Elephas maximus indicus: one gene and its partners. The protein of the gene in region 1 purifies or fractionates together with the protein of each later gene. This does not show direct contact. Links are inferred from orthologs where the notes say so. Each region holds a gene or a part of one and is shown in the gene's direction. Other genes may lie near its edges. The genes, in order: KPNA6, CHD8, KPNB1 and RNMT.

Region 1 (6,964 bases):
TGCCTACAAATTTCCCTCCTATTCTTCTTTCCTCAGAGCTAGATTTTTGAGCTTGGTGTCTGATTGCAGCTGGCAGGTTTTTGTCAGTAGGTAAGCTCAGGGGTAAGTCCAAGAGAAAAGCTGCTTTTTGAGGGCAGATTTGGGGAGAGGGAAATGAACAAGGTGCTCTATGCTGTAGCCATCCTTCTTTTGCAGGAAGATTAATGATGTTCTTCATCTCCATGAGAAATAACTTTGTTAAACAGAATGGCTTTTTGTATATATACTCTGAATTTTTTCAGGCTTTATGGTGAAATCGAAACCCTGGTGGCGTAGTGGTTAAGTGCTACGGCTTCTAACCAAGGGGTCGGCAGTTCGAATCCGCCAGGCTTTCCTTGGAAACTCCATGGGGCAGTTCTACTCTGTCCTATAGTGTCACTGTGAGTCAGAATTGACTGGACGGCAGTGGGTTTGTTTTTTTGGTATGGTGAGATAAGTGTAGTCTTTTTATTTTTTAGGAGGGAGGTAAGATAATTAGCTTTAATTATGTATGTCTAGTAAAACTTCAGAAGTAACCACTAAGATTAAAATTCGCTGTATAAATTCCAAACTGGTAGAGAGGAAAATGTCATGATGATAAAAATAAACTGGGGGGTGGGGGGGAAGCTTAGAAAAATCTGGACAAGAGTATACAACCAAAAAAAAGGTGGTAGAAACAAGTCAAAACAAGTCACTTGCAGAAATCAATTAATACAGATGATCAGATTGGATTTTTTTTTAATTAAGCAATATGTGGTTTATATGAGACATACCTAAAATATACTCAGGTTGAAATTTTTAAAAATAGAAAAATACCCAGCAAGCAAATATTAACCGAAAGAAAGCTGGGATGTTACCTGTATACACATTTAAGGTTTTTAGATCTTCTTGATGAATTGATTATCATTATAAAATGTCCTTATTCATCCCTGTAGTAAGTATTCTTTGTTAACGTTGACCCTAAAGTGGGTTTCTTGTATACAACATATACAAGTGTCTTCATTTTATTGTTGTTTATTTTTTATTGTTACTATTGTTCTGACAATGAATCCTTTTTAATAGAAGTGTTTACACCATATTAATGTAATTATACATGTGATTGAGTCTGCTCTTTTCCTATTTGTTTTCTATTTATTGCATTTGCTCTTGGTTCTTTTTTCCCTCTTTACCTGCTTTTTTTTGGATTAATTATTTTTTATGTTTTCATTCTATCTCCATTCTCGGCTTATTAACTGTATTTCTTTGCTTTATTTTTTTAATGGTTGTTCTAAGGTTTGCAATATACATCTTTGTTATATCACAGTGTACCTTTAGATAATACACCATTTCACGTGTCTAGTAAGAACCTATGACACACTTCCATTTCCCCTACTCGTCTTTTTTGCTATTGTTGTAGATTTTATTTCTAGGTGTTAATTACACAAATCCCACAATTACATTATTTTTGCTTTAAACAATTATTTCTAATGCAATTTTTTTCCTAAATTTTATTTATTTTGTTGTTGTTGAGAATATACACAGCAAAATGTATACCAATTTTATTGCAGTTATTTTATATTTACTTCCATAGTCACCATTTCTGTTGTTGTTAGGTGCCGGCAAGTCGGTTCCAACTCAAGGCAACCCTGTATACACAGGACTGGGCAATGTTTTGCCATCTTCACAATCATTGGCTATGTTTGAACCTGTTGTTGAAGCCACTGTGTCAGTCCATCTCACATCTCATTGAGGGTCTTCCTCTTTTTCGATGACCCTGTACTTTACCAAGCATGATGTCCTTCCCCAGTAACTGGTCCCTCTCCTGATACATGTCCAAAAGTATGTGCGACAAAGTCTCACCATCCTTGCTTTTAAGGAGCACTCTGGCTGTACTTCTTCCAAGATAGATTTGTTCATTCTTCTGGCAGTCCGTGGTATATTCAATATTCTTCACCAACACTGTAATTCAAAGGCGTCAGTTCTTCATTGGTGTTCCTTATTCATTGTCCAGCTTTCATTTGCATATGAGGCGATTGAAAACACTGTGGCTTGGGTCAGGCACACCTCAGCCCTCAAAGTAACATCTTTGCTTTTCAACACCTGAAAGAGGCCTTTTGCAGCACATTTTCCCAATGCACTATGTCGTTTGATTTCTTGACTGCTGCTTCCATAGACGTTGACTATGGATCAAAGTAAAGTGAAATCCTTGATAACTTGAACATTTTCCCCGTTTATCACCATGTTGCTTATTGGTTCAGTTGTGAGAATTTTTGTTTTCTTTATGTGAAAGAGTAATCCATACTGAAGGCTGTAGTCTTTGATCTTCATCAGTAAGTGCTTCAAGTCCTTTTCACTTTCAGCAAGCCAGGTTGTGTCATCTGCATATTGCAGGTTGATAATTAGTCTTCCTCCAATCCTGATGGCTCTTTCTTCTTCATATAGTCCAGTTTCTCAGGTTCTTTGCTCAACATACAGACTGAATAAGTATGGTGAAAGGATACAACCCTGACACACACCTTTCCTGACTTTCAACCAGCAGTATCCCCTTGTTCTGTCCATAGGTATGCCTTTTGATCTATGTACAGGTTCCACATGAGCACAATTTTTTTTTTAAGTGTTCTGGGATTTTCATTCTTCGCAATTGTCTTAGCCATCTAGTGCTGCTGTAACAAATACTACAAGTGGATGGCTTTAACCAAGAGAAATTTATTTTCTTACAGTCTAGTAGGCTAGAAGTCCAAATTCAGAGCATCAGCTCCAGAGGAAGGCTTTCTTTTTCTGTCATCTCTGGAGGAAGGTCCTTGTCATCCATCTTCCCTTGGTCTAGGAGCATCTCAGCGCAGGAACCTCGGGTCCAAAAGACAAGCTGTGCTCTTGGTGTTGCTTTCTTGGTGGTTCGAGGTTCCCTGTATCTCTGCTCGCTTCTCTCTTTTATATGTTAAGAGATCCCCTCAAGACAAAATCCAATCTTGTAGATTGAGTCCTGCCTCACTAACACAATTGCCACCATCCTCCCTCGTTTACACACATTTTGGGGGGAACATAATTCAATCCATGACAGCAATGTTATCCATAATTTGTTATGATCCACACAGTGGAATGCCTTTGCATAGTCAGTAAAACAGAAGTAAACATCTTTCTTGTATTCTCTTCTTTCATCCAAGATCCATCTGCCATCAGCAATGATATCCCTTGTTTCACATCCTTTTCTGAGTCCGGCTTGAATTTTTGGCAGTTCCCTGTTGATGTACTGCTGCAAATGCTTTTGAATTATCTTCAGCAAAATTTTACTTGCATGTGGTATTAGTGATACCGTTCAGTAATTTCTGCATTCTGTTGGATCACCTTTCTTTGGAATAGGCACAAATATGGATCTCTTCCAGTCAGTTGGCTAGGTAGCTGCTTTCCAAATTTCTTGGCATAGACGAGTGAGCACTTCCAGCATCGCATCCATTTGTTGAGACGTCTCATGTGGTATTCCATGAATTCCTGCAGCCTTGTTTTTCGCCAAGGCCTTCAATGCAACTTGAACTTCTTCCTTCAGTACCGTCGGTTATTGATCATATGCTACCTCCTGAAATGGTTGAATGTTGACCAGTTCTTTTCTGTACAGTGACTGTGTAGTCCTTCCATCTTCTTTTGACCCTTCCTGTATCGTTTGGTGTTTTGCCTATAGAATCCTTCAATATTTAAACTTGAGCTTGAAATTTTTCTTTGTTTCTTTCAGCTTGAGACATGCCAAGCATTTTCTTCCCTTTTGGTTTTCTAACTCTGAGTCTTTGCACATTTCATTAGAATACTTTGTCTTCTTGAGCTCCCCTTTGAAATTTTCTGTTCATCTCTTTTACTTCATCATTTCTTCTGTTCACTTTAGCTAGTCTGCATTCAAGAGCAAGTTTCAGAGTCTCTACTGACAAATAATTTGTTCTTTTTTTTTTCCTTTTCTCTCTTTTTAATGACCCTTTGCTTTCTTTATGTATGATGTCTGTGATGGTTAAGGTTGTGTGGCAAGTTGACTGGGCCATGATTCTCAGTGGTTTGGCCGTTATATAATGACGTAATCACTTCCACGATGAGATCTGCTGTGAACTGACCATCAGTTGAAAGGGAGCTTCCTTGGTGTGGCTGCATCCAATATATATGGACTTCCTGGCAAAGCTTGCTAGCTTTTGCTCACTCTGGATCCTGCCTCTGGCTCATCATCATCTGACCACTGGTTCTTAGTACTTGAGCCAACAGCCTGCCTTCTGACCTGCCAATCTTGGGTTCATCAGCCCCTGTAGCTACCTCCATTAGAAGAAGCCTCCAGCCTCACACCTGACCCACTGACTTGGGACTTAACTAGCCTCTACAACCCTGTGAGACATTTCCTTGATATAAATCTCTCTGTTTCTACATGTATATGTATTTGTGTGTGTGTGTGTATATATATATGTATGTATATATCTACGCTTCACTGGTTTTGCTTCTCTAGAGAAGCCACCCTAAGACAATGTCCTTAATGTCATCCCACAACTTGTCTGGCCTTCAGTCATTTGTATTCAGTGAGTCAAATCTGTTCTTGAGATAGTCTCTAAATTCAGGTGAGATACACTCAAGGTTGTACTTTGCCTCTGGTAGACTTTTTTTATTAGTCATGAACTTCAACTTGAACATACAAATGATTGTCCTGCAGTCAGCCCCTGGGCAGTCCGCCCTTGGCCCCAGGGACCCAGTTGAGTACCTGCAACTTTTCAGAGGGTCCTGGAAGTGAAGACTGTTACCATAAATAATGTTGTTAGGTAATGTCCAGTCAGTTCCGACTCCTAGCAACCCTGGGCACAACAGAACAAAACACTGCCTAGTCCTGCACCATCCTCACAATCGTTATGCTTGAGCCCATTGTTGCAGCCACTTTGTCACTCTGTCTTTTTGAAGGTCTTCCTCTTTTTCACTGACCCTCTGTTTTACCAAGCATGATGTCCTTCTCTAGGGACTGATCCCTCCTGATAATATGTCCAAAGTATGTGAGACATAGCCTTGCCATCCTTGCTACTAAGGAGTATTCTGGTTGTACTTCTTCCAAGACAGATATGTTCATTCTTCTGGCAGTCCATGGCATATTCAATATTCTTCACCAGCACCACAATTCAAAGGCGTCAGTTCTTCAGTCTTCCTGATGCATCATCCAGCTTTCGAATGTGTGTGAGGTGATTGAAAACACCATGGCTTGGGGCAGATGCACCTTAATGTTCATAAATAATGCTAAGATATCATTAACATTTTCATTGTGTCTGACATTTGCACTGACACTGCAAAACAGTGGTGGGCAAAACTGCTGATGCCTTAGCACTTACCAAGGCAGTGACATCAGACTGTACCGGCCACTGGCCTTGATGATATTGAGCTTCTCCATCGTCTCTTTCCACAGATGTAGTCGATTTGATTTCCTGTTTATTCCATCCGAGGAGGTCCATGTGTGTAGTCACCATTTATGTTGTTGGAAAAAGGTATTTGCAATGAATAAGTCATTGGTCTTGCAAAATTCTGTCATATGATCTTCTGTATTGTTTCTGTCACCAAGGCCATATTTTCAAACTATCAATCCTTCTTTATTTTCAGTTTTCACATTCCAATCACCGATCATTATCAATGCTTCTTGATTGCATGTTTGATCAGTTTCAGACTACAGAAGTTAGTAAAAATCTTGTTTCTTCATCTTTGGTGTTAGTGGTTGGTGCATAAATTTGAATAACAGTTGTATTAACTGGTCTTCCTTGTAGGCATATGGATATTATCCTATCATTGACAGTGTTGTACTTCAGGACAGATCTCGAAATGCTCTTTTTGACCATGAATATGATGCTTTTCGTCTTCAGTTTGTCATTCCTGAAATAGCAGACCAGGATTGTCTGATTCGATACGGTCAGTACCAGTCCATTTCAGCTCAGGGTATCGGTCTACAAGCAGTCCATTTCATTGTTGGTAACTTCCAATTTTCCTTGATTCTTACTTCATACGTTCCATGTTCCGATTATTAGTGGGTATTTGCAGCTGTTTCTGATCATTTAGAGTCATGTCACATCAGCAAATGAAGGTCCTGAAGCTTTACTCCATCCACATCATTAAGGTTGACTCTACTTTGAGGAGGCAGCTCTTCACCAGTTGTTTTTTGAGTGTCTTCCAACCTGAGAGGCTAATCTTTGGCACTATATCAGACAGTGTTCTGCTGGTATTTATAAAGTTTTCACCAGCCAGTTCTTTCAGAAATAGATTGCCAGGTCCTCCTTCCCAGTCTGTCTTAATATGGAAGCTCTACTTAAACCTGTCCGCCATGGATGACCCTGGTGGTATTTGAAATACCAGCATCACAGCAATGCACAAGCCACCACACACTATGACAGACCAACAGACAGGTGGTTTTACTTTCAGCCAGTGCAGAAATAAATAAATAAGCCTTCCTTAGTAAAATGCGTGGTAGCACACAGTGGGAACTAAAAAAAAAGAGGATAATAATAAATAAGAAAGGAAAAAAAAACTTATTTGAAGATGATGTAATTCAAGCATTCAGTGTTTTGGAATTAATAAGAATTTAGCATGGTGTCTGGATATGAGATAAAGAGCAATTCTTTCCCCCCATGGCTCCCCCCAAAAAAAACCTAAGAATAAATCTAAAAGATAGAGAAGATCTTTCATGGAGAAAATTCTATGTCTTTATTGAAAGGTTTTGTTGTTTTTTTTTTTAATTTAATGGGAGAGACATTCATATTGTGTAAGGGCAGTTCCAATAGGATTTTCCAAGGGATTGACAATCTGATTGTAGATTTCAAAGGCTCAGGAAAAAACTAAACCACTCCCTCCTGAAGATTAAGATAGGAGGACTTGTACTTCCAGATGAGGAAAATTTTTTAAAAAGTATATTAATCAAGATAATACGATATTGGTGCAGGAAAGAAATTGACCAATGGAAGAGAGGATAAAATTAGAA
Region 2 (7,109 bases), on another chromosome or scaffold:
ATAGCTTAGGGCTTTTCTCGTCCCCCTATTTTAATTTCTAAAACGTTAAGATCAAAGCTGATAGTCACTGTAGTCCACAAATAAATTATTTTATAAGCATACCCATTCTGCTCCCCAACAAGAATTAGTAACAAGGGTCAAGGATGTTCTGCTTCATCGCTTGAGAATACTGGGATTTAGTGAGCTGTGGGTGTTAGATCCCCTGCCTAGAAATTTCATTGATTTTTTAACTTACTTGCCTTTGGGGGTCCAATTGCCACTTCCTGAGGGATCTTCCAGAAGGCAGTTCCTTCTACCTGAACTGCTGAAAGATGCTCAGTACTTTTCTAGACCATCCCATTTCTAGTTTCTGTCCCTTAGAGTGACTAAAAAACTTTTGAGAGCAGTGAGATGGTCCTGGACCTATGACCACTTATCATTAACTAAAAAAAATATTCTTTCACTGCTTGTTTTGTTTCAGGGACCAGACCTAACATCGTAGTGTCTTTCACCAAACAGACTGCTACTATTGCATCATACTCACTTCTTACTAGACAATTTAAACCTCCTAATCCAACCGAACTAATCTGCTTACTGGACATGATATATTTACTCCCACTTCCATGCCCTGGCTCGCACCCTACTTTCTGCTAAAATTATACCCAAAGTCTAAAACTTTTTCCTTCAGGAAGACTTCTGTGACTGACTTAGGGACTTCTAAGCAATTATTGACATGGTATCCCTTTTAGGCTCCACCTTTCTTATACTGTTTATATTTATTTGTATTAATGTTGTTTTACAAATATGTTTTACAGTTGTTTTATGTATAGGATCTGTCTCCCCATGTAGTTCGTAAGCTCCTGTCATTCCTTCAATTTTGTAAAATCTCCACGCCCACCACCATTCCTTCACAGAGCCCACTGCTACATTCATTACATGATCATTGAATTTGACTGACTGACTTAAAGAGTTAGAACAGGTTTATTTTAGACTTCAGAGTAAACAAAAGGCCTTAGAGTCATCCCTTTGATAACTTTGTTTCAATCTCTTCTATCTGCTTACCCTAGGTCCCATATTGCTCTTTTCCTTCTCTCTTCCACTCTTCCTAGGACCTCTGCCTCCATTCCATGCAGCATACAGTAAGGCTGCCTGTTTTCAAGCTGTCAGCATAAGTGGATACTTACCAACCATTCTCCTTTTCAAAAGCATATAATACTATCCTAGCAAAATTTGCTTTTGCTTCATTCCGCACAAGGCCTTCTAGGTCACTTGCTATATCTTCTTGCCTTGATTTCCCACTCTGTTCCACAACACTGAGGTCTCATGAATTTTTCTAACATTTTTGTTGTTGATCAATTGTATCATTACTGTGTGTATGCATGTATCCAAGCTGCTCATATGTACATGTCATTTCTTATTGTATCCCAAACATAAGTAAATAATCTCCTCCTAAGGAATTTTATCAAAGTTATTGATAAAGCTTCCTTCTAACTCCCATATTCAGTTTTATTATCCAAGCCAACTTATAACCTCTGTACTTGGGCATTTCACCAATTGTAAGGGAAACACGAGAAACAGAAGCAATTTCACAGCCTGTGCTGATCATTGCTGATGTTAAGTGAAGTGACATTGAAGAAATATCGTAGAAGGTGGATCTCCCACCCCATGTGAAGAATGGTAATTATGAGATAATCTGAGTATTGATTTTTGAAGGCCAGCACCATTGGAAATCAAACTAACCCCCCCAAAACCAAACCCACTGCCATTGAGTCCCTTCTGACTCATAGCGACCCCATAGGGCTTCCAAGGCTGTAAATCTCTATGGAAGCAGACTGCCACATCTTGATCCCGCAAGTGACTGGTGATTTCAAATTGTTGACCTTTCAGTTAGCAGTCAATCACTTTAACCATTGAGCCACCAGGAGATCATACCAGTTACAGGAAAAGATCATTGCAAGTAGCTGAAATTATTGGACCAGGCACATTCCCTATCTATAATACCTGTAACTAGTTCTCTGATGATGGGTCCATTTTGTACCAAATAACATTAGAAGGATAATAGACTCTCATTCTAGAGACTACTAATAAATAAGATCATATCTATATATTCATTGCAAACACATTGCTATGGTAAATCCTAACACCAAACTCAAATTTGGTATAACGACAGCAGTAGCCAGGGGAGAATTTGGCCAACAAACTTTGTTCAATATACAGGAGAACTTATTTGGTCAACTCTTATCACCTCTCTGATAAAAGATTGAGTCATATGACTCTAAGGTTTCTAAGCTCCTACCACGGATGACCATGAGACTGTGTTATTCTTTGAGAGAATTCTTTTAGTGACCTGGAGGGACTCCTTTTGCTCACCAAAAAAAAAAAAAAATCAAACCCATTGCCATGGAGTGATTTCGACTCATAGCGACCCTATAGGATAGAGTAGTAGAACTGCCCCATAGAACTTCCAAGGAGCGCCTGGTGGATTTGAGCTGCCGGCCTCTCGATAGCAGCCATAGCACTTAACTGCTGTACCACCAGGGTTTCCCCTTCACTTACAGGCTTAAAAAAAATAAATAAATAAAGACTTTTTGTAGTGAGTTGTAATAAGATTTAGACTGAGAAATACTGGAAAACCAGTGTCACTCAGTGCAAGAAAATTTCACTAACAATGAAATCATTTCCTCTCCGATTTAAAAGCAGCCAGTAGAAAATTACTTCCTCCAGCCAGTGCTTCTATGGCCGGGCTGCCCCCTATGGTTACTCCATACTTTGGACTCAGAATGGAGGTTAGGGCTTTAGTTTTTTTTTCCCCCCTTCTCCTTTAAGGCTTCTAGTGCAAGAAAATTTCACTAACAATGAAATCATTTCCTCTCTGATTTAAAAGCGGCCAGTAGAAAATTACCTCCTCCAGCCAATGCTTCTATGGCCGGGCTGCCCCCTATGGTTACTCCATACTTTGGACTCAGAATGGAGGTTAGGGCTTTAGGTCCCCCCCACTTCTCCTTACACATAGTTTCCCGTTTAAGGCTTCTAGTGCAAGAAAATTTCACTAACAATGAAATCATTTCCTCTCCGATTTAAGAGCTAAAAAAAACTACCGCCGTCGAGTCGATAGCAGCCAGTAGAAAATTACTTCCTCCAACCAATGTTTCTACGGCTGAGCTGCCCCCTAAAGGACCGTCTTGTCCCTACACAGAGTTTTTCGTGTAAGGCTTCTGTCTTTTCCATTGTATGCATGCACAAGTAGTTGTGGTTCATTGATGAATTTGAGGCCATTTTTCTTTTTTTTTTTTAATTGAAAATTTTTCCAGCTCTTTATTTCCAACTGATTCACAACCCTCTGTGCTGTCAAAGTCCGAACACTGGAACTGTCAAGTCAGAACACTGGAAATTTTGCAAGAGCAGCATAAGATTTAGAAGCATCTAGAATAGTTTTTTTTTTTTTTAGAATAGATACATAACCTATGTTGGTTATGTGCTGATGCTCTGAGGAGTGAGGTGTCTATAAAGGATTATTCCAGGAACTGGGAGCACCCAGTCTCATCTGAAGAATTGGTTTTTGCTTTCAATGGTAAAATTGCTTCACTTGTGCAGTTAAGTGGGAGGGTGATACGGTTGCTTCTAACCATATTCGGCATTACAGAGTCTCTCCCCTATAATGATTGAGGTTACATCCTGATTATATAAAGGTGAGAATGTTGGGGCTGGTCCCGAGTAGTCGGGTAAAACGTGGAAAATGACTTCATATTGCTCAAACACTCCTTCCCTCTCCCCGCCCCCAAGGCACCAGCCTGAGCCAAGATGGCTTCCTAGACACAGGTAACTAAATGTTTTAGTTTAGAGCGCCCCCAACGGCCGGGGTCTAAAAAAAAAAAAAAAAAAGATGCCGAAAGGCCTGAGCGCCTGTGAACTGAGCCATCAGAGACGAGCTGCCGCCAGATTTTTATTTTCAATCAGGCATATCTGTGGTTGCCTACGTACCCTTCCCAGCCTTTTAGGACCTCCCACTCACAGGAGACTTCCTGGATGGCGCTCACACTACCATGCTGGAAGAGGCCGGGCTTCAGCCTTGCCATTGGTGGGTGGGAGGGCAGGTGGGCGGAGCCGAGGGAGAATGGACTACTAGCAAGCTCGGTTGAGACGAGAGCTGGCCATGCTCCGCCGGAAAGCGCCTTGTTCTCCGAAAGGGTGAGTTGAAACGGGGCTGGAAAAGAAGCACCAGGACTTGTTCAGGTAGGCTTCCCGCTCACATGGACTTCTCAGTGCTGCTCCACGAGTCCTAGCAAAAGCTAAAGCTCTTAGAATTAATTTCATTAACTCATTATCCTCCTTCCGCTCCCGCCCCCCGCCTGTCCCCCACTTGTGAGGAATCAGGTGTTGGGTGATGCTCTGGACTGAACCATTCTTCTTTGTGAGAGGCCAGGGGAAGAGGGTGCCTGCGGGCCCGCGGGGCCCGAGTCCGGCCAACCCGTGAGGGGCCTGCCCGGGCCGCTGTTGCTTTTTTAAGGCTTGTCATTGCATTACTGGGCGTGGTATAGATTTGAGGCAGCTCCTTGTTCTCCTTTCTCCTTCAGGGGAGGGTAAACTCCCCGACTCTGTTTGGTTACTCCATACTTTGGACTCAGAAGTGGGAGGTTAGGTTTCTTTTTCTCCCCCCCCGCCCCTTTTTTTTAAATAATAGAGGTGAGTAAGAAAGCATAGGGTGAGCGTGCGCAGGTTGCTGTACATTCTTAGGTACAATTTCTGTGGGTCTTCTGGGAGAAAAGGGCAAGCTGTTGGAGTGTGTTTAGACATGGTGGGAAGAGAGGAGCGCAAGCCTTGCATCTCCTTTGACACATATGCAGAGTTCAGTGGGTTTATGGTGCATTATGTAAACTCTCCCCAGGCAGAAGACCCCTCTTCTTGCCTCGGGGCAAATGCAGTTTCTTTATTTACCTGTGTGTAGTGTCGCAGGGAATTTCTCCGCCCAGTGCAGCGGCTGTGCAAATGCAGCAGCCTCTGCCTTTTTTGGAGCAGGCCTGAAGTGATTAAGGTCTTCGAAGAAGACGTACACACACACGTATATTTAGTGATCCAGTCTCATTTCAGTGATTGGGCACGGTGAGCCAGCCAGTAGTCAAAGACTTGGAATTCAATGTCTTTTTTTAAAGAGCAGATATAGGGGAGCACACCAAGTACACAGCCAGAGGCGTTGCATGATCAGTGTCTGCTGCAGGCCTTCATCACACCAGCATGGGCGGATCGTTTAATCTCCTTGTTGCTCTGAGCCTGTGAACTCAGTCAGAGACTCACTGACTGTTTGGGTTATCCTTAGCAGCAACTGAGGTCCTATCTGGTGCAAGGCACTTTAGATACTAGAAGGTGAGTTTGTGATTTGGGTAATGTCCTCTGCTAGTTGTTTAGATGATGACTTCTACTTATGCATTTCTTCTGCCTTGGTCACCAGCTAGATTTCAGAATAAATTGCAGTCAGCCTCGAAGGGCCTGAGTATGGGAAGCTCCCCATTCCTAATATTTTGGAATGATCCCACCCCTTGAGAGGGGAAAAAGTTATGATAAGAAAAACGATAGTTGCCATTTAAGAAGATCTATGTTGCAAGAGTGGCATGTCATGATGAAGAACAGTGGCCAAAAAGAGATAGGCACAGGCTTGGAGGAAGGTTTAAAACTGAAATAGCAAAGGAGTAATGGATTGGGATAAGGCATTTGATGGAGCAATATATGGGTACTTGTACAGTTCACACCTTCTCCATGCTTTAATCTAACCTGTGCATATGGCCTTTGGTTTTATCACTTCTCAAATTAACAAAATCCATTTAAATACTAGATAGAAAATGAATCTGCCGAGCTGATCGTGACTTACCAGGAAACACAGATCTTGTGTTTCCCAGGGCAGCCTTCTCTGCAGCATTGCTGGGTGATGGGGTGGAGAAATCTTGGCATTATCGTAACCACCACTGCAGAGCTTTAGTTGAAATAGGAAAAAATTGACATTTTATGTGAAGGGTTGAATTTCTGAGAGGTAATGTAGGATGGTGAGGGGGAGCATTCTTTAAAATAAGCCACTGTACACATCTCCCACCATTTAATATTAATTTGAGAGTCCCAAGAACTGTGCTTGTTTGAAAGAATGAGGTTTGATATTCTCATCTGCAAGAGGATTGTAACATTTTCAGAGGTGAACGCTAAGTGCTTTGGAGATACTGTTTGTCCACAGGCCTGGAAGAGTTACGCTATCTTCTAACCTTACATTGAGCCTAATTAATACTTAGGGGATTAACAGAAGACACATTTTTCTGGACCCTCAACCTCCACCTCTAGAAGTCATTTCACTTGTGGACTTGCATTTGAGTAAGATTTGAGTAAGTCCTTAATCTGCAGGTCACTGCTGTAACTGACCTAGTATTTACTATTTTACCTTTAACATTTGATTCATTGACAGACTATCATGTTTCATATCTTACTCAGTTTAATTTCTTATATTTCCTCTTTAATTTTTTATTCTTTTTCCCCACAAAGTTGGTGGTCCTCCTTTCACTCTACTGTTAAATGTTCCTGTTCACTTTGCTTTTTGTGTTAATTCACTGACATTGCACTTCTTTGCCTCTGTTTTGCTGAGGCCTTTCAGAGAATGTAAAGAGACCCTAATTTCCAAGATGTTTTTCTTTGATACCGAGTATTTGCATTTCTATATGAGCAAGCTGTTCTATGAGCCACTTTCTTTTGCTTAAAAGCTTACTTACCATTAACTGAACACTAAGTTTTTTCCTGAATAACCTTTTTTCTCTCTTAACCTCTAACTTTTGTTTTGTGTGCTATAATTTAATTCTTTTTTTGTGTTTTCTAACTATTTCGTATTGCCTTTAAACTTTCCATTATATTTTTATTGACAAAATAAGTTTACCTCTTTGTAGTTATGGAGTATTTTAGATTTAAATTACAAAGTATGTTAGTCCCTGAGATTTCTCATTAGATTGTTTTGTAAGTAACTTACTTCTTTAGTCCTTTTATTGCCCATTACTTTCTGTCCTTCGCTATAGGCTCTTGGTTAATGCCTGATGAAACAAAATGGTCAACTTTAAAAGATCTTAGTTCTTGTTTTCAGATTACATCAGGAGACTTTAAAAAAT
Region 3 (7,983 bases), on another chromosome or scaffold:
GTATAAAAAACTCAACTGTAATCCTACCATCCAGGGACAGCCATTATTAACACTTGGTTTATACTTTTCCAGTCTTTTTTCCTATTCACGGATACACAGATAGAACTCAAGCTCCTTTTCTTTGAACAAAATAGGATACTCTCCCCTAAGAGTATGGCACCGGACGCCCTTTCAACTCAGTACTGAAGTCACCCCTGAGGTTCACCCTTCAGCCAAAGGCTAGACAGGTCTATAGGAAAAACAATAACACACGTAGGAATGTGCTTTGTAGTTCAATCATGTATATGAGACTAATGGGCACACCAGCCCAAAAGCAAAGATGAGAAAGCAGGAAGGGTCATGAAAACTGGATGAATGGAAGCAGGGAACCCAGGGTGAAGGGGCGAATGTTGACACATCACAGTGTTGGCAACCAGTGTCACAAAACAATATGTGTATTGTTTAATGAGAAACTACTTTGCTCTGTAAACTTTTACCTGAAGCACAAAAAAAATTAAATTAAATTAAATTAAAAAAAGGAGAGGAAGAAAATTAACACTAACTAAGAATTAACCTTTAATTTTAAATTACCTCTGTATTTCGGCTAAGACTTTTGTTAAAACATCAAATGATTTTTTTTTAAATCAAGTAGCTAATTTAAAAACAAAAAACAGGCACTCTCTATGTATACTCTGCAAGAATTTTTATTGGGTTGGTATAAAAAAAAAATTTTTTTTTTTTTTTTTATACCTAAGGAGCCCTGGTGGCACAGTGGTTAAAGCATTCGGCTACTAACTGAAATGTTGGTTGTTCATATACCCACCAGCCACTCCATGGAAGATGTAGCTGTCTGCTTCCTTAAAGATTTACAGCCTTGAAAATCCTATGGGGCAGTTTTACTCTGTGCTATATAGGGTCGCTATGAGTTGGAATCGACTCGAAGGCAAAGGGCTTTTTTTGGGGGGGGGGTAGGATCACTATGTGTTGGAATCAAATTAACGGCAATGGGTTTAGCTTATACCTAGCCAAGTGTGTAAAATGTTGATGAATTTTTAACATATGAATCTACAATATTATGATGTTTTCTAAACAAGAGTGTGAACATTTTATACTTGATTAAATGACCTTTGACAGCATAATTTTTAACTGCTAACTAGAATTACAACAGTTGATCATAAGAATGTACCATAATTTATTTAATGAATCCACCATTGTTAGATATTTCAGTTGTTTTTAATTGTTAACTACTGTATTAGTTTACCCTGGTGGCGCACTGGTTAAGAGATTGGCTGTGAACCAAAAGGTCAGCAGTTCAAATCCACCTATGGAAATCCTATGGGGCAGTTCTACTCTGTCCTGTAGGGTCGCTATGAGTCAGAACTGACTTGACGGCAATGGGTTTGTTTTTTTGGTTTTGGTATTAGTTTTCTATCGCTGTTGTAATAGTTTACCATAACTTTAGCGACTTAAAGCAACACCAACTTGTAGTTCCGGAGGTCAGAAGTTTAATATGGATAGGTAGGGCTGAGTTCCTTCTGGAGGCTTTATGGGAGAATCTACTCCTTGCCTTTCCCTATTTTTAGAGGTTACCTGCATTCCTTGGCCACGCCTCACCCTGACCTCGGCTTCTGTCATCACAGAGCCTTCTCTGACTCGGACTCTCTTTTATGAGGACATTGGGTCCACCAGGATAATAAGTGATAATTTTACTATCCCGAGATGCTTGACTCAATCACATCTGCAAAGTCCCATTTGCCATGTAGATTAACATATTCCCAGGTTCCAGGGATTAGCACATGGACATCTTTGGGTGGTTCCAACAGTTAACATGCTCAGCTGCTACCTAAAATGTTGGTGGTTTGAGTCTACCTAATGGTGCCTTGGAAGAAAGGCCTGGTGATCTAATTCTGAAATATTGGCTATTGAAAACCTTATGGAGCACAGTTCTACTCTAGCACACAGGGGGGTCACCGTGAGTTGGAATTGACTCAACGGCTACTGGTTACTGGTAATTCAGACTACCCAGACCCAGTGCCGTTGAGTCGATTCCGACTCATAGTGACCCTATTCAGACTAGCACAACTAAAAATAATGCACTCTTCTATTTGTTTTCCTACCTCTTGCTGTTCTTTCTCCCTCTTATTCGTATTACCCACTAGTTTGGAACTCCATGTCCTCTCTTAAATATTTTGCTTTTCTCTCTCTCTTTATAGGATGTCAGGGTCTTAATGACCATTTCTGATCAACTGACTTATTTTTTCTTCCCCAAGCACCTGCCTTTCTTCCAAATCCCAATACAGTTTCCCTTGAATGTCCCTCTGTGACCATAAAGACAAACTATTTCTAAAACTGAATTCTTCAACCATCTCCCCCACCTTGACCCCAACCTCCTGCACCAACCTAGCTTCAATAAATGTTTTTACAATTATCCACTCTCCCAAACATTCAAGCTGGAGATCTAGGACTCACCTTTCATCCTTCCCTTTCCTCTGTATCTAATCAACCACTAAACCCCATCAATTCTATTGATTCAACATTTCTCTAATTGTTCCTCCTGGCCTTAGTTTGTGAGGAGCCCTGGTGGTGCAGTGGTTAAGGTGATTGACTGCTAACCAAAAGGTCAGCAGTTAGAAACCACCAGCGGCTCCAAGGGAGACAAATGGGGCAGTCTGTTTTGGTAGAGGTTTACTGTCTTAGAAACCCAATGGGTTAGACTATGAGCTGCAATCGACTTGACAGCAGTGGGCAGGGGCCCTAGTTCAGTCCCTTATCTATTACCTAATAACTGTTGCTATAGTGTAGTAGAAGCCTTTCTCCTAATCAAAACATACCACTTATTTCAAGGTAAGGGGGTATTATCCTGTCCTCGAGAAAGCCCTCTGTGACTGCCCCTCCCTGGGATACCATCTCCCCCTCCACAAGAAGTAATCCATAATGAAGTGCCCACTATGTGCTTGAGTTTTTCAGGCTGCATTATTTAATTTAATCTCTGCATTCCTTTAAGGTATTCTTTTAATGTTTAGACAAGGTAACTGAGAAGCTAATATGGGGTCGCTATGAGCCAAAATCGACTGGACAGCAACTAGCAACAACTTTAAAAATCAATGTGCCCTCAGTAGTATTATCATGACTAATGTTGAGCAGAGGAGCTGGCACAGAAAACTGCTGGAGAGCTGAAGAAAATTGGCTTGCAGTGAAACAAAATTATAGCTCATTCATAGTGTAACCCCAAAAACCCATTGCCAAAGAGTCGATTTCGACTCATGGCGACCCTATAGGACAGGGTAGAATTGTCCCGTTGGGTTTCTTAAGCTGTAATCTTTACAGAAGCAGACTGCCCCATCTTTCTCCCCTGGAGCGGCTGGTGGGCTCGAACTCAAGGACCTTTCAGTTAGCAGCCAAGTGCTTAACCACTGGAGCACCCAGGCTTCTTCATAGTGTAATTCACGTAAAGACAATTCAAAGATTTCCATGGATGTCATCTCACTTAACCTTCATTGATTTCTAATGAAGTTACGCAGGCCAGTTCTTTCTTAGTTAATAAAGTAAAAGGTTGGAAGTAGGTGGACTATTAAACCATAGGAATCAGCTAGCTACAGTATGCCTCATTTCCAGCTTCAGGATTGCAAAGGTATATCTAGCACAGAAAAATTTCTTCTTCCTCTTTTAAGGATCAAAGGCAGCTGGCCAAGCTTTCCTAATACTTGGTTGGGACCCCTCAGCATGAATAAGACTTCTGCCTAGGTTTTCCCAGTGTGGCTAGAAAAAAAAGGCTAGAGTAGAGAGCAAATACCTCACAAACTCCAAACAGCTACAGTTAACACTATCAGCAATACGGTGAAAAATGCAAAAGCTGAGCAATCTGTTAACTTGGGGCCCATTATCAATGGGAGGTGAAGTCAGGAAACCGCACGCAGTTTCTTTCTGTGCATTTTGCTAAGGAAAGACTTTCATTAGTTTCTCCCAATGTCCTAACTAAAAAAGGCTAAAAACCACAATCCTTTATGCCTGTTCACACATTCCTTCTGGTTCACGGTTGTGCCTTTATTGGGACACCTTTGGAGAATGATATACATTCCTATTCAGACTGGGTTCTAAGAAGAATCCAAGTGCCCACATCTATTGGAGTCAGGCCTTCTAACTGGACGTATTAGCATTCACCTTCTTGGGGAGGATGTTGCCGGCAGGGCCAAGGGCAGTTGGGAGTGCTAGAAAGCAGTCCGGACTAGGCCATTAACGGGCTGTGTGACCTTGGACAAGTTCCGTGCCCTCTCTGGTCCTCAGTTTCTACAATTGCAAATTGGAAATTGAACCAAATGGTCTCTTAAAATCCTCCCCAACAGAAAGCCTGGTACTAAATAGGCCTAGTTATTAAAGCAGCTTCCTGTGGACGCGGTACAGGGTTTTAACGGTCTCCCTCCCAGGCTCAGACCCGCCAAGTCCTAACTCAACACGCCCCTCGGAGTGACGGCGCTTTCCAAAACCGCAGCCCGAAGCGGCCCCAACACTGCTCCGCCCCTTCCCGGGGGCGTCCCATCGTGCCCCGCGCTAGGCCCCTAAAGCGGCCAGGGGCCTCCCGCCTTTCCGCGGAGTCGACCCCGAACACCTCTCTCCAGTTCTCCCGAGCACCCCAGTCTATCAACGTCTAGTGTCCTAGCCAATCACCCAGGCTCGGAGTCTTGCCTTTGACCCACCCTCCTCCTAGCGGTCAGCCAGTCTGAGCCCACGGCCTTTGCCAGGCCAATCCAATCAGCAGCCGGCTCAGACCTGCCCCACCCCAACCTCCCTTCCCTCGGCCAATCCGCATGCCCCATTCCGCTGCCCGCCCAGCCAACCCGGTCCTTGAAACCAGCGGGCGAATCGGCGCAAGGCGGCCCTTCAACGCTAACCGCCCGGCCAATTGGGGATTCCGCGTGGCCACAGCGGCAGCCAATCGACGTGGAGCGCGGTGCCGCGGCGGAGAGGTCCGGCCCGAATATCCCTCCGCCTCCCTCTCTCCCTCCCTCTCCCTCCCTGCGAGCCGCCGTTCACTTACTGCCTCCCTTCCTTCTTTCTCCCTCCGCCACCCGAGCACCAGCCGCGGTCTGAGCTGCCCCCGGGGTTCCTCCCCCACCGCCAGAAGAGCAGCTGCCGTCGCCGCGAGCCGCACATTAGAAGGGAGGAAGGAAGGAAAGAAGGAAGGAAGGAAAGGGGGCCTGAGTGACTAGCAAGTGGGAGCCGGTGAATGGGCTTGTGGTGACCCCCGCCCCCCACCCCACCCTCCCTTCCCACCCGACCCCCAACCCCCAACCCCAGTTAGAGTCGCCGCCCGAGAGGCCGGACCGTCGTCTTAGGAGGAGTCGGCGCCACCACCTTCGCGATGGAGCTGATCACTATCCTCGAGAAGACCGTATCTCCCGGTAGGACGCGGGGGCCGGGGGGTCGGGCCGAGGCGACTTGAAGTGGGGGAGGGGGAGGCCCTGCCCTTCTGACCCTGTCCCCTTTCCCACTTTCCTTCCCCCTAGATCGCCTGGAACTGGAAGCGGCGCAGAAGTTCCTGGAGCGTGCGGCCGTGGAGAACCTGGTGCGTGCCACCCTGCTCTCCCCCATCCCGCCGTCTTCCCATCTCCTGCGTCCGGGGCCTTCCCGCCCTCCCGGAGGCCCAGGCCTCGGGAACCTACCCCGCCCCATCCCGTCCCCCTCCCCCCGCACCCCGGTCCAACCTAACCCCGCCATCGGGAAGCCGGTGGGTGTGTCCCGCCCCAGGGCCCGGCGACTGGCCAATGGCGCAGCGCGCCGGGGTGACTGCCGCCCAATCGCCGCGCGGCCTGAGGGCGGCGGTGCGGCGGGAGGGAGAAAGAGGGAGGAAAGGGAAGTTAGGTTGCGCGGCGCTGCGTGTTCAGCAAGGGTGGGGGTGGGGGAGCCGGGCCTAGGGGCCATGTGGAAGCTCCGAGCCCAGCTGCCAGCCCTGTTCGGACCTGTGCTGGCTTCTCTTTCCTGTCCCGTGGCCTCTGGGGTTCTCTCCACTTACTTCCCAGAGCTCTGCCTTTTCCTAGCTCCCTTGGTCTGTGCTCATGGCTAGGGCTGGCACCCGAATGCCTCTTAACCCATTCCCGTTAATATTTCTTCCTAGTATACTCGGTTCTTCCTCTCCTGGGTTTTTTTTTTTTTTTTTTTTTCATTGATGAGCAGAGACTTAATCAGTAGGGATTTGCACCCAGACAACAGGCTGGAGCTTATCTTTGAGAAGATCGGGCCTATTTCCTGATGAAATCACAGAGGAAAGTTCCTCGTTTTTCATGTTTTCAAATTTAAAAGGCACAGAAAAAATGAAGATAAGCCCACTAGAGTATAAAGTCTGGCCTGCTGTATAAAAATGATTTCAACAGCCCATGTGCCAGTTAACGTTTCTCTGGTTTTCCTCTCCTGTTGTGGGAATGGGAGGGAGCATAGGGAAGGGTGGCTGATCCTTGACATCTTTTAAAGGTAATAAGCAATGTGTTGGTAACACTGTAACAAAATGTGTTCCTTTGAGTTTTCTAGGCAAAATAATGTAAGCAAAAAAAAAAAAGACAAGGCTTATTTTGTGCAGACTGCCAGTGGATGATGTATTTTGTTCTTATAATTGCTGGTTTTTATTTTTTTACTCTTATGTTTTTTTCTTTTTTTTTAATCTTTCCCCAGGAAAGGTTTTTTCTATTAGTATAGACTGATAACATTCCATAGGAATATATTCCTGTTTCTGCTTTTTATCTTATTTTAAAAATATTTTTTAGTGGTACAACATTTTAGTAAGACTTTTTTTTATTAATTGTGCTGTAAGTGAAAGTTTACAAATCAAGTCAGTCTCTAATATGAGAATTTAAATACACCTTGCTATATAGTCCTAATTGCTCTCCCCCTAATGAGACAGCACACTCCTTCCCCCCACTGTCTCTCTTCGTGTCCATTCGGCCAGCATCTGACCCCCTCTACCCTCTCATCTACCCTCCAGACAGGAGATGCCAACATAGTCTCACGTGACTACTTGATCCAGGAAGCTCATTCTTCACCAGTAGCATTTTCTATCCCATTGTCCAACATTAGTAAGACTTAAGAATATCTTCTGCCGTGACTAGAATTTCAGGTGCCAGGCAGTACTTGATAGTGGAAGAAACTGTCTGCTTTTGGCTTTTTCTGTAAACTTTTCCATTTGGACAGAGCTGCTTTTTTGGAGGGGAAGGGAGCGTGTATGTTAAAATTTTTAAACAAAGGGGGTAGCTTTTCCTAGGGGACCTGTGCATTACAAAAGATCGAGTGTGTCTTTCAGGGCTTCACTATGTTTAGTGCACAACTTAAGTCCAAAATGTAAAGCAGCTTTTATTTAATCTGTTAACTGTTAAATACAAAATCAGTTACCTTGGAACAACTTGCCTTGACTTTTCTTATCTTTTCCACTTAACCTTCTAAATATTTATGAATTCTTCCTTATAAATCTGCTTTTTCCACTGTTCCCCTTTCGCAGATGTAGCCTTATCCGCACTGTAACTAAAATATAGAGGATAGGCTTCTAAGTCTGTTTTAGGACTATTGATAAGTATTTCTCTTTCTTGTTCAAGATTTACTTTCACTAGTCCAAAAGCTACCCTTGGTATCTTTTTCTGACTGAGGTTTTTTTCTGACTGAGGATACTAAGTGACCTGGCCCAGTCAGCAGAGCTGGCCTGAATATTTGAAAATAGTTTTACTTTCTACCCTGTTACAACGTATTCATTCATTCAACAAATATTTATTGACTATCAGGCACTGGTGTAGATGTTTGGGATATTTCAATTGACGTGGAAGAATCCGTTGGCTACCAGATTGCCAGATTTGATTTAGTTCTGGAGATTTAATGTAAAGATTTGGCCATTAAGAAAGGTTTGCTAGGAAAATCTACAACTTCTTGTAAGTACTGTTTGACATTTCATGAGAAGATGGGTGACTTTAATAGGTACATTTTGGGGAATTATCTGAGACATTTATGATTTGCTCAAAAAAAAAAAAA
Region 4 (7,791 bases), on another chromosome or scaffold:
ATGGACACCCGATCTTCAAAAAACGGCCAAAGTCCACTAAATGAGGAAGCGATAGTGCGATACTTAAGGTTGTGTGTCAACTTGACTGGGCCATGATTCTTAGTGGTTTGGCAGTTATAATGTAGTTTGGTACTCATATGATGACATGATGTTGGTAAAACTGGATATCCCTTTGCAGAAAAATGAAACAGGATCCATACCTCACACCAAACACAAAAACTAACTCAAAATGGATTAAAGACCTAAATATAAAACCTAAAACTATAAAGTTCATGAAAGAAAACACAGGGACAATGCTTGGGACCCTAATTTATGGCATAAAGAGACTATCAAGCGTAATTAAAAAGGTACAAACTTCAGAAGATAAACTAAATAACTGGAACCTCCTAAAAATTAAATACTTACACTCATCGAAAGACCTTTCCAAGTAAGGAAAAAGAGAACCTACAGACTGGAAAAAAATCTTTGGCAACAACATATCTGATAATGGTTTAATCCCTAAAAAATACAGGAAACTTCAATAACTCAACAATAAAAAGACAAGTAACCCATTCATGAAATAAGCAAAGGACATGAACAGACACTTCACCAAAGAGGACATTCAGGTGGCCAATAAACACATGAAAAGATGCTTGTGATAGATGCAAATCAAAACCATGATGAACTATCATTTCACCTCTGCAAGAATGGCACTGATCAAAAATTCAGAAAACAATAAATGCTGGTGAGGTTATAGGGAGACTGAAACTCTCATATACTGCTGGTAGGACTATAAAATGATACAACCGCTATGGAAAATGATACAGTGCTTCTTTAAAAAGCTAGAAATATCATGTGATCCAGCAATCCCACTCCTAGGAATATATCCTAGAGAAATGAGCCGTCACACGAATAGACATATATGCACACCCATGTCCATTGCAGCATCATTTACAATAGCTAAAAGATGGAAACAGCCTAAATGCCCACCAACAAATGAGTGGATAAACAAACTATGGTACATACATACAATGTAATACTACGCAACGATGAACAACGATGAATCCACGAAACGTCCCACAACATGCATGAATCTGGAGGGCATTATGCTGAGTGAAATAAGTCAACCACAAAAGGACAAATATTGTATGAGACTGCTATTATAAAAACCCAAGAAAAGGTTTACACACAGAAATAAACAATCCTTGATGGTCATGAGGGAAGGGAGGGCTGGGCAATGGAAATCACCAACTAGATAGTAGACAAGCGCTAACTGGTAAAGGAAAAGACAATACACAATACAGGAAAAGTCAGCACAACTTGACCAAGGCATAGACACAGAAGCTTCCTAGACACACAGAAACACCCTGAGGCACCAAGTTACTGGGGCTGAGGACTGGGGACCATAGTGTCAGGGGACATCTAGGTCAAATGGCATAACATAGTTCATGAAGAAAATGTTCTATGTCTGACTTTGGTAAGTAGTGTCTGGGGTCTTAAAAAAGCTTGTGAGCAGTCATCTAAGATATATCGCTTTGTCCCATCTTGTCTGGAGCAAAAGAGAATGAAGAAGACCAAAGACACAAGGGAAATATTAGTCCAAAGGACTGATGAGCCACATGAACTACAGCCTCCACCAGCCTGAGGCCAGAAGAACTAGATGATGCCCGGCTACCACCACTGACCACTCTGACAGGGATTACAATAGAGGGTCCCAGATAGAGTGGGAGGAAAACATAGAAAAAACTCAAATTCACAAAAAAAGACCAGACTTATTGATCTCATAGAGACTGGAGAAACCCCCAAGACAATGGCCCTCAAACACCCTGCTAACTCAGAACAGAAGCCAGTCCTGAAGTCCACACTCAGGCAAAGATTTGACAGGCCATAAAAGAAACAACACGTGAGAAACGTGCTTTGTAGATCAATCAAGTATATGTGACCAAATGGGCAACACTTGCCCAAAAGCGAAGACCAGAAGGCAGGAACGGCCAGGAAAACTTGACAAATGGACATGGGGAACCTGGGGTGCAAAGGGAGAGCGTGCTGATGCATTGCGGGAATTGCAACAAATGTCATGAAACAAATTGTGTATACATTTTTGAATGAGAAACTAATTTGCTCTGTAAACTTTCACTCAAAGCACACATGCACACACACAAACAACAAAAAAAAAAGCACTGAATTGAAATAAATTCAGTATGTCCTAAAAAACAAAAACAAACAAAAAATGGATTTTTTTTTAAACCTTTCTTGGAGATACAGTAACTCAATGAGCACCTACTATGTGCTAGGCAAAGTTCAAGGCACCTTGGATAAATCACTGAACGATGATACTGCCTTGGTGGAGCTCACATTCTAGCAGTCATAACATCCTTCCCCAGCTATTTTCTTTGAACATAATAATCCAGGCATTAAGAAGGACCAAAATGTGTTCTCAAAAACCACTCTGGCAGGCAACTGCCAGTTTGTGGTCTGGCCTCTGGCAGGCCCCAGCTCCTTATTAGCACAGAGCCCTGTCTCTGGAGACGGAATACCTGGGCCCACCTCCTAGCTCCACTACTTACTAGCTGTATTACCTTGTACAAATTACTCAATCCTCATCTGTAAAACAAAAATAATCAAAGCAATTACCTCACTGGATTACCTGACACATAGAAGGCACTAAGGTACTAAAACAAAAAAACCAAACCCATTGCCATCGAGTTGATTCCAACTCACAGAAACCCTACAGGACAGAGTAGAACTGCCCCATAGGGTTTCCAAGGAGCAGCTGGTGGATTTGAACTTTTGGTCAGCAACCAAGTTCTTAACCACTACACCACCAGGACTCCAATAAGGTACTAGCTGTTGCTATTATTATTATCGTATCCAGAAAGTTAAAGACTACTCAGGAAATAATGAGTGAAAATAACTGGTGGTTTTAGACATTTTATATGGCCCATTTACTCCCTCCATTACTACTACTTTCAAGCGTTCTTCCTCTTTTCCACTAAATTTAAATTATTCCAGCAAACTCTGGTAAAAAACTATCAAACTTGATGTCTATACATCACATTCAAAACAACAATTCATCTTGGAGTTTCTTGAACACAGAGAAAAACTTTTAAGTCAAAATTAGACTCATTTTCCCTAAAAGTAAGTAATTTTAGCATCAGAACTAGCAAATATGAGCTATGTAATTGCCTAATTTTAATGCCTGGACATGTAAATAGTAAATTCATTAGGCCTTTGATGTTGTTCATGAGCTGACGTTAATTCTCCACCTGACTCACTGCATATAATAAAAAACACAGGTGCAGTCATCTGAAACGGTTCATCTACTTGATAAAAACAGTCCTCATTCTCGGTTCAAAGTCTGAGCTAATCTCAGAAGGGTTAACGTCCACAACTTAGAAGTAACTAGATTGAAAAGTACATAATGCAAATCTTGCCTTTCCCAAAGTAAAGAAAAAAAAAAAAAAAAACCCAAACCCGTTGCCATCTAGTCGATCCTGACTCACAGCGAACCTATAGGACTGAGCAGAACTGCCCCAATAGGGTTTCGAAGGAGCGGCTGGTGGATCCCAACTGCCGACCTTTTGGTTAGCAGCCAAACGCTCTCAGGGCCCCTCCCCCAAAGCAAAGCTGGTAGCGCAGTGGTAAGAGCTACCGCTGCTAAGCAAAAGGTCGGCAGTTCGAATCCACCAGCCGCTCCTTGGAAACCCTATAAGGAAGTTCTAATCTGTCCTATAGGGTCGCTATGAGTCGGAATCATCGACTCCATGCAACGGGTTTTGGTTACTTACAAGGCAGGCTACTAACAGTTTCAAAGCTGCTTTTAAGGGAATCAATTTTGATTAAAAATAGTTCAAGATGGATTGCAAATCTGATCAGGTTTTTGCACCATTAAAGTGGAAAGGTGCCGGGGTACAACATTAATAGGCACACACGATAACAACGTCTTACATCACATGGACAGTTTTGACCCTAATTATAGGGTTGAAAGTCCTTAACTGTGGAGCTTTGAGTTTTAGTACAGAAGATGCCTTTGATTGTCCAGGGGAAATCTGAGGGAATAGACAAAGTGTGTTGTCCTCCAGCAACCACCCCACACGAAATCCTAACCAACACACAGTAATATGCTTTTATGCGTTTCACAAGAAGCGGTATACCCATTTCTCCAGAGTCCGTCATGATAACGGCCTCCCTGGAATGAAGAATGGCACGGCTTCCCAAATACGGAGGCAGAAAATGACCTGCCAGTCATTGCTCTTTTTAAGTCAACTCCAAGGGCACAGGCCCTTCTTCAGCTGGGAGGAGCAGAAGGCGATGGGTTACAGAGCAGGAGGCTGAGAAACAGGCCCGTGATCCTTCTCGGCTGGCACGTGTGGGGCCCACACGTGCAGGTGCCCCGCGCTGGCGCTGGCGCTCACCGGGCAGTAGGCCAGGCTCTGTCCTGATCCCCACCACCTCCGCAACCCCCACCCGGTCGCGCGCCGCAGGGGCCCTCCTCGCCTCCCGCTGCCCTGCGATGTGGGCCCAGGCTACCTCCACGGACGGCGGCGCCGCCGCGCAGGCCGGGCGACAGCTCCTTGGATGCCGCAAGAGTGCCACTCCTCAGCGCTGACCTTCCCGCCTCCCGGCCGAGGCCTGGCGATGCGGGTCGGGTGCCGTGCCCGCGGCTGCCGCGGTTCCTCGCCCTCCACCACCGAAGTCCGCAGCCACGCCCCCACGACGAGCGCTCGGCACGCTGGGCCTCGTAGTCTGGCGCAGAGGCAGCGGGAAGTTCCGCTGTGGCCCAGAGCGACGGCACGTGACCGGTCGCGCGGCAGAAATGACGTCACAAGGACCCAGCGCGCCGTTCGCAGTTTCCGGAAACAGAATTGTGGATACCGGTTCTGGTGAGTGTAGCGGCAGAAGTTCCGGCCCTTGCTTTCTCCTCGTCGTAGGCCCTGCGCGCCGTGGCGGAGGTAGAAGGGCACTCAGTTCCTACCCGGGCTGGCTTCGCGTTAGCCCTGTGCGTTGAGTTCCTGTCTCGAGGGGCTTATTGTGCCCTCAAGCCCAAAGCAGAACAGGTACCACTCGTGGAGGCCGACAGGCGCAGTTGCTGCTCAAGACTGAGGGAGGAACCAGGGCCGCGCCTTTTCTTCCCATTTTACGCTAAGAAGATTTGGAAAAGACTTAATGGTTATTAAGCTGATTCTATTTTTCTTAGCCGAAGGAAACGGAGTGTTGTATTCGAAATAGTGTTTCTTTTGAGCGGCGGATCCGAAACCCGAGCAGGAGGTTAAGAGTATTAGGCTGCGCAAATGATGGAAGGAGGTGCACTTGCTGAAAAATTCCCTTGTCTCCTTTACTGCATGCTCTTGAGCCCCCTGAGTTGACTCCATCAAGCTGTCAGATCCTGGGTAGACCTCCTGCTTGAGCTTAAGCCTGGCGGCCCTGGTACCCTGCTCAGACGTTCACTGAGAAACTGAAATGACGGAGAGATGTGGCTTACCTCGAAGGAAAGCCTGATCTAAACGCCTATTTGGAGGTTTATTGCATATCCAGTCAGTTGACTGTTTACTCTAAGCTCCCTCCTCGAAAGTTCTGAGGGACAGCTCTCTTCCTGTTTGGAGTTTGTTCATTATTGTAATTTGACGCTCGGTTTTAAACATTCTTATCCATTTCTGCGGTCGTTTGGAATGCTGTCTCATTGGTTCTGACAGAATCGGTTATCTTTTCGAGACATCTAATCTGTGGAAATAGAGTTGCACAATATTGTTGTAAATATAAGTACAGTTCGCGCTTAAATCTCAATACTAATTTTAGGCAATACAGTTTCAGCCAAAAAGGTGTATCAGATGGCTTCATTTGAATTTAAAACCTGTGTGTATATCTTTATTAGAAAATAAATGGAAGAAGTGAAGATAGGGACTTGATAATGTGATGGTCAGTTGTACTAGATGATCATGTTGGTTAGTTCTGCATAGTATTTTTTGGAGTGTTTTTTTGTTTTTGTTTTCTCTGATCAAGTTCTCTGTATTTTGGTACCTGGATATTTTGCTACCTCAAACGGTGGATTGTTTTTGATGGTTACTATTGAGTGGATTCCAACTCATGGCAACCCCATGTGTGTCAGAATAGAACAGTGCTCCAGACGGTTGTCAAGATCTTTCAGTAACAGATTGCCAGGCCTGTCTTCCGAAGTGCCTCTGGATGGGTTTCAACTGCCAACCTTTCGGCTAGTATTTGAGTGTTTAACCTTTTGTGCGAACCAGTTTCCTTTGAAACCCTTCCCTAACTCAAGTCATAGTGACTCGTATTTCCTCATTCCCTTAAGCAACTTTCTTTAAATTGTTACCCTTTTTCTTTACTCAAAAGTTTTTTTCATTCCCTTCTTTATATCTTTCAGCTTCTGTGCATTTAATCTGAATTTGCTGAATCTCACTAATCTTTTGATTTTTTCCCTCTTTTCCATTTACTTTGAATAATATAGCCTAATGTTTTAATAGTGGTATGCAGGGTATAAACTTCTTGAATGCATAATTTTCACACAGTCCTTCATTAAATTCTTCTGTAGTGGAAGTTGAGTAAATTTGTTAACCCAAACCAAACCCACTGCCGTCGAGTTGATTCCGACTCATAGCGACCCTATAGGACAGAGTAGGACTGCCCCATAGAGTTTCCAAGGAGCGCCTGGCGAATTTGAACTGCCGACCTCTTGGTTAGCAGCCGTAGCACTTAACCACTACACCACCAGGGTTTCCAGATTCGTTAAATGAATGAATAAATGGAGCAATGTAACAATTCCTGTCCAATAGTTATTTACCTCTCCTGCCCATTTTACAGACAGGAGCCCTGGTGGTGCAGTGGTTAAAGTGATTGACTGCTAACCAAAGGTCAGGGGTTCAAAACCACAAGCAGCTCCAGGGTAGAAAGATGTGATGGTCTGTTTGCATAGAGATTTACAGCCTCAGAAACCCTGTGGGGTCACTACAAGTTGGAATTGATTTAGAGGCAATGGGTTTAATTTTTGGTTTCCTGTTTTACAAGGAGACCTAGTTAAGTGCTTGGCTGCTAACCAAAAGGTCAGTGGTTCAAACTCACCAGCTACTCTGCTGGTGCTTCTGTATAGATTACAGCCTTGGAAACCCAATGAGGACATGTCATAGATTGAATTATGTCCCCCCAAAAATGTGTGTATCAACCTGGTTAGGACATGATTCCCAGTATGGTGTGGTTGTCATCCATTTTGTGATTGTAATTTTATGTCGAGAGGATTAGGGTGGGATTGTAACATCACTCTTACTCAGGTCATCTCCCTGACCCAAGAAAAGGGGAGTTTCCCTGGGTTGTGGCCTGTACCACCTTTTATCTCAAGAGATAAAAGGAAACGGAAGCAAGCAGAGCATTGGGGACCTCATACCACCAAGAAAGTAGCACCAGTAGCAGACCTGTTCCTTTGGAAACAGGGTGCCTGTGCCTGAAAAACCTCTCCACCAGGTGAAGATTGAGGACAAGGACCTTCCGCCAGAGCTGACAGAGAGAGAAAGCCTTCCCCTGGAGCAGATGCCCTAAATTTGGACTTGTAACCTACTAGACTGTGAGAAAATAAGTTTTTCTTTGTTAAAGCCATCCACCTGTGGTACTTCTGTTATAGCAGCACTAGATGACTAAGACAGAATCTGGTACTGAGAGAGTGGGGTATTGCTCTAACAGATACCTAAAATGTGGAAGCAGTTTTGAAACTGTGAATGACTAGAGGAGCAGCAGTGAGAGAGGGCCAGCAGCAGCAGAGAACCTGCAGTGGCAAGGAGGTGGCAGTGACAGAGAACCAGCCGCAGG

The links.
Region 2: the proteins of KPNA6 (region 1) and CHD8 purify together in Homo sapiens (affinity purification with mass spectrometry; 4 studies listed by BioGRID and IntAct, with this or other methods). This does not show direct contact. The link is inferred for Elephas maximus indicus from reciprocal best matches to the Homo sapiens genes KPNA6 and CHD8.
Region 3: the proteins of KPNA6 (region 1) and KPNB1 purify together in Homo sapiens (affinity purification with mass spectrometry; 4 studies listed by BioGRID and IntAct, with this or other methods). This does not show direct contact. The link is inferred for Elephas maximus indicus from reciprocal best matches to the Homo sapiens genes KPNA6 and KPNB1.
Region 4: the proteins of KPNA6 (region 1) and RNMT purify together in Homo sapiens (co-immunoprecipitation; 3 studies listed by BioGRID and IntAct, counting the BioPlex papers as one, with this or other methods). This does not show direct contact. The link is inferred for Elephas maximus indicus from reciprocal best matches to the Homo sapiens genes KPNA6 and RNMT.

Annotation. Positions count from the first base shown.
Region 1 is NC_064821.1:73,062,990-73,069,953, forward strand, and holds the start of KPNA6 (importin subunit alpha-7), read left to right. Parts: upstream 1-3,904; 5' UTR 3,905-6,964. UniProt on the Homo sapiens protein: Functions in nuclear protein import as an adapter protein for nuclear receptor KPNB1. Binds specifically and directly to substrates containing either a simple or bipartite NLS motif.
Region 2 is NC_064828.1:31,812,939-31,820,047, reverse strand, and holds the start of CHD8 (chromodomain-helicase-DNA-binding protein 8), read left to right. Parts: upstream 1-4,105; 5' UTR 4,106-4,167; exon of another isoform or gene 4,168-4,212; intron 4,213-7,109. UniProt on the Homo sapiens protein: ATP-dependent chromatin-remodeling factor, it slides nucleosomes along DNA; nucleosome sliding requires ATP. Acts as a transcription repressor by remodeling chromatin structure and recruiting histone H1 to target genes.
Region 3 is NC_064837.1:45,774,275-45,782,257, reverse strand, and holds the start of KPNB1 (importin subunit beta-1), read left to right. Parts: upstream 1-4,974; 5' UTR 4,975-5,338; coding exon 5,339-5,378; intron 5,379-5,483; coding exon 5,484-5,542; intron 5,543-7,983.
Region 4 is NC_064829.1:7,451,248-7,459,038, reverse strand, and holds the start of RNMT (mRNA cap guanine-N7 methyltransferase), read left to right. Parts: upstream 1-4,779; 5' UTR 4,780-4,862; exon of another isoform or gene 4,863-5,148; intron 5,149-7,791. UniProt on the Homo sapiens protein: Catalytic subunit of the mRNA-capping methyltransferase RNMT:RAMAC complex that methylates the N7 position of the added guanosine to the 5'-cap structure of mRNAs. Binds RNA containing 5'-terminal GpppC.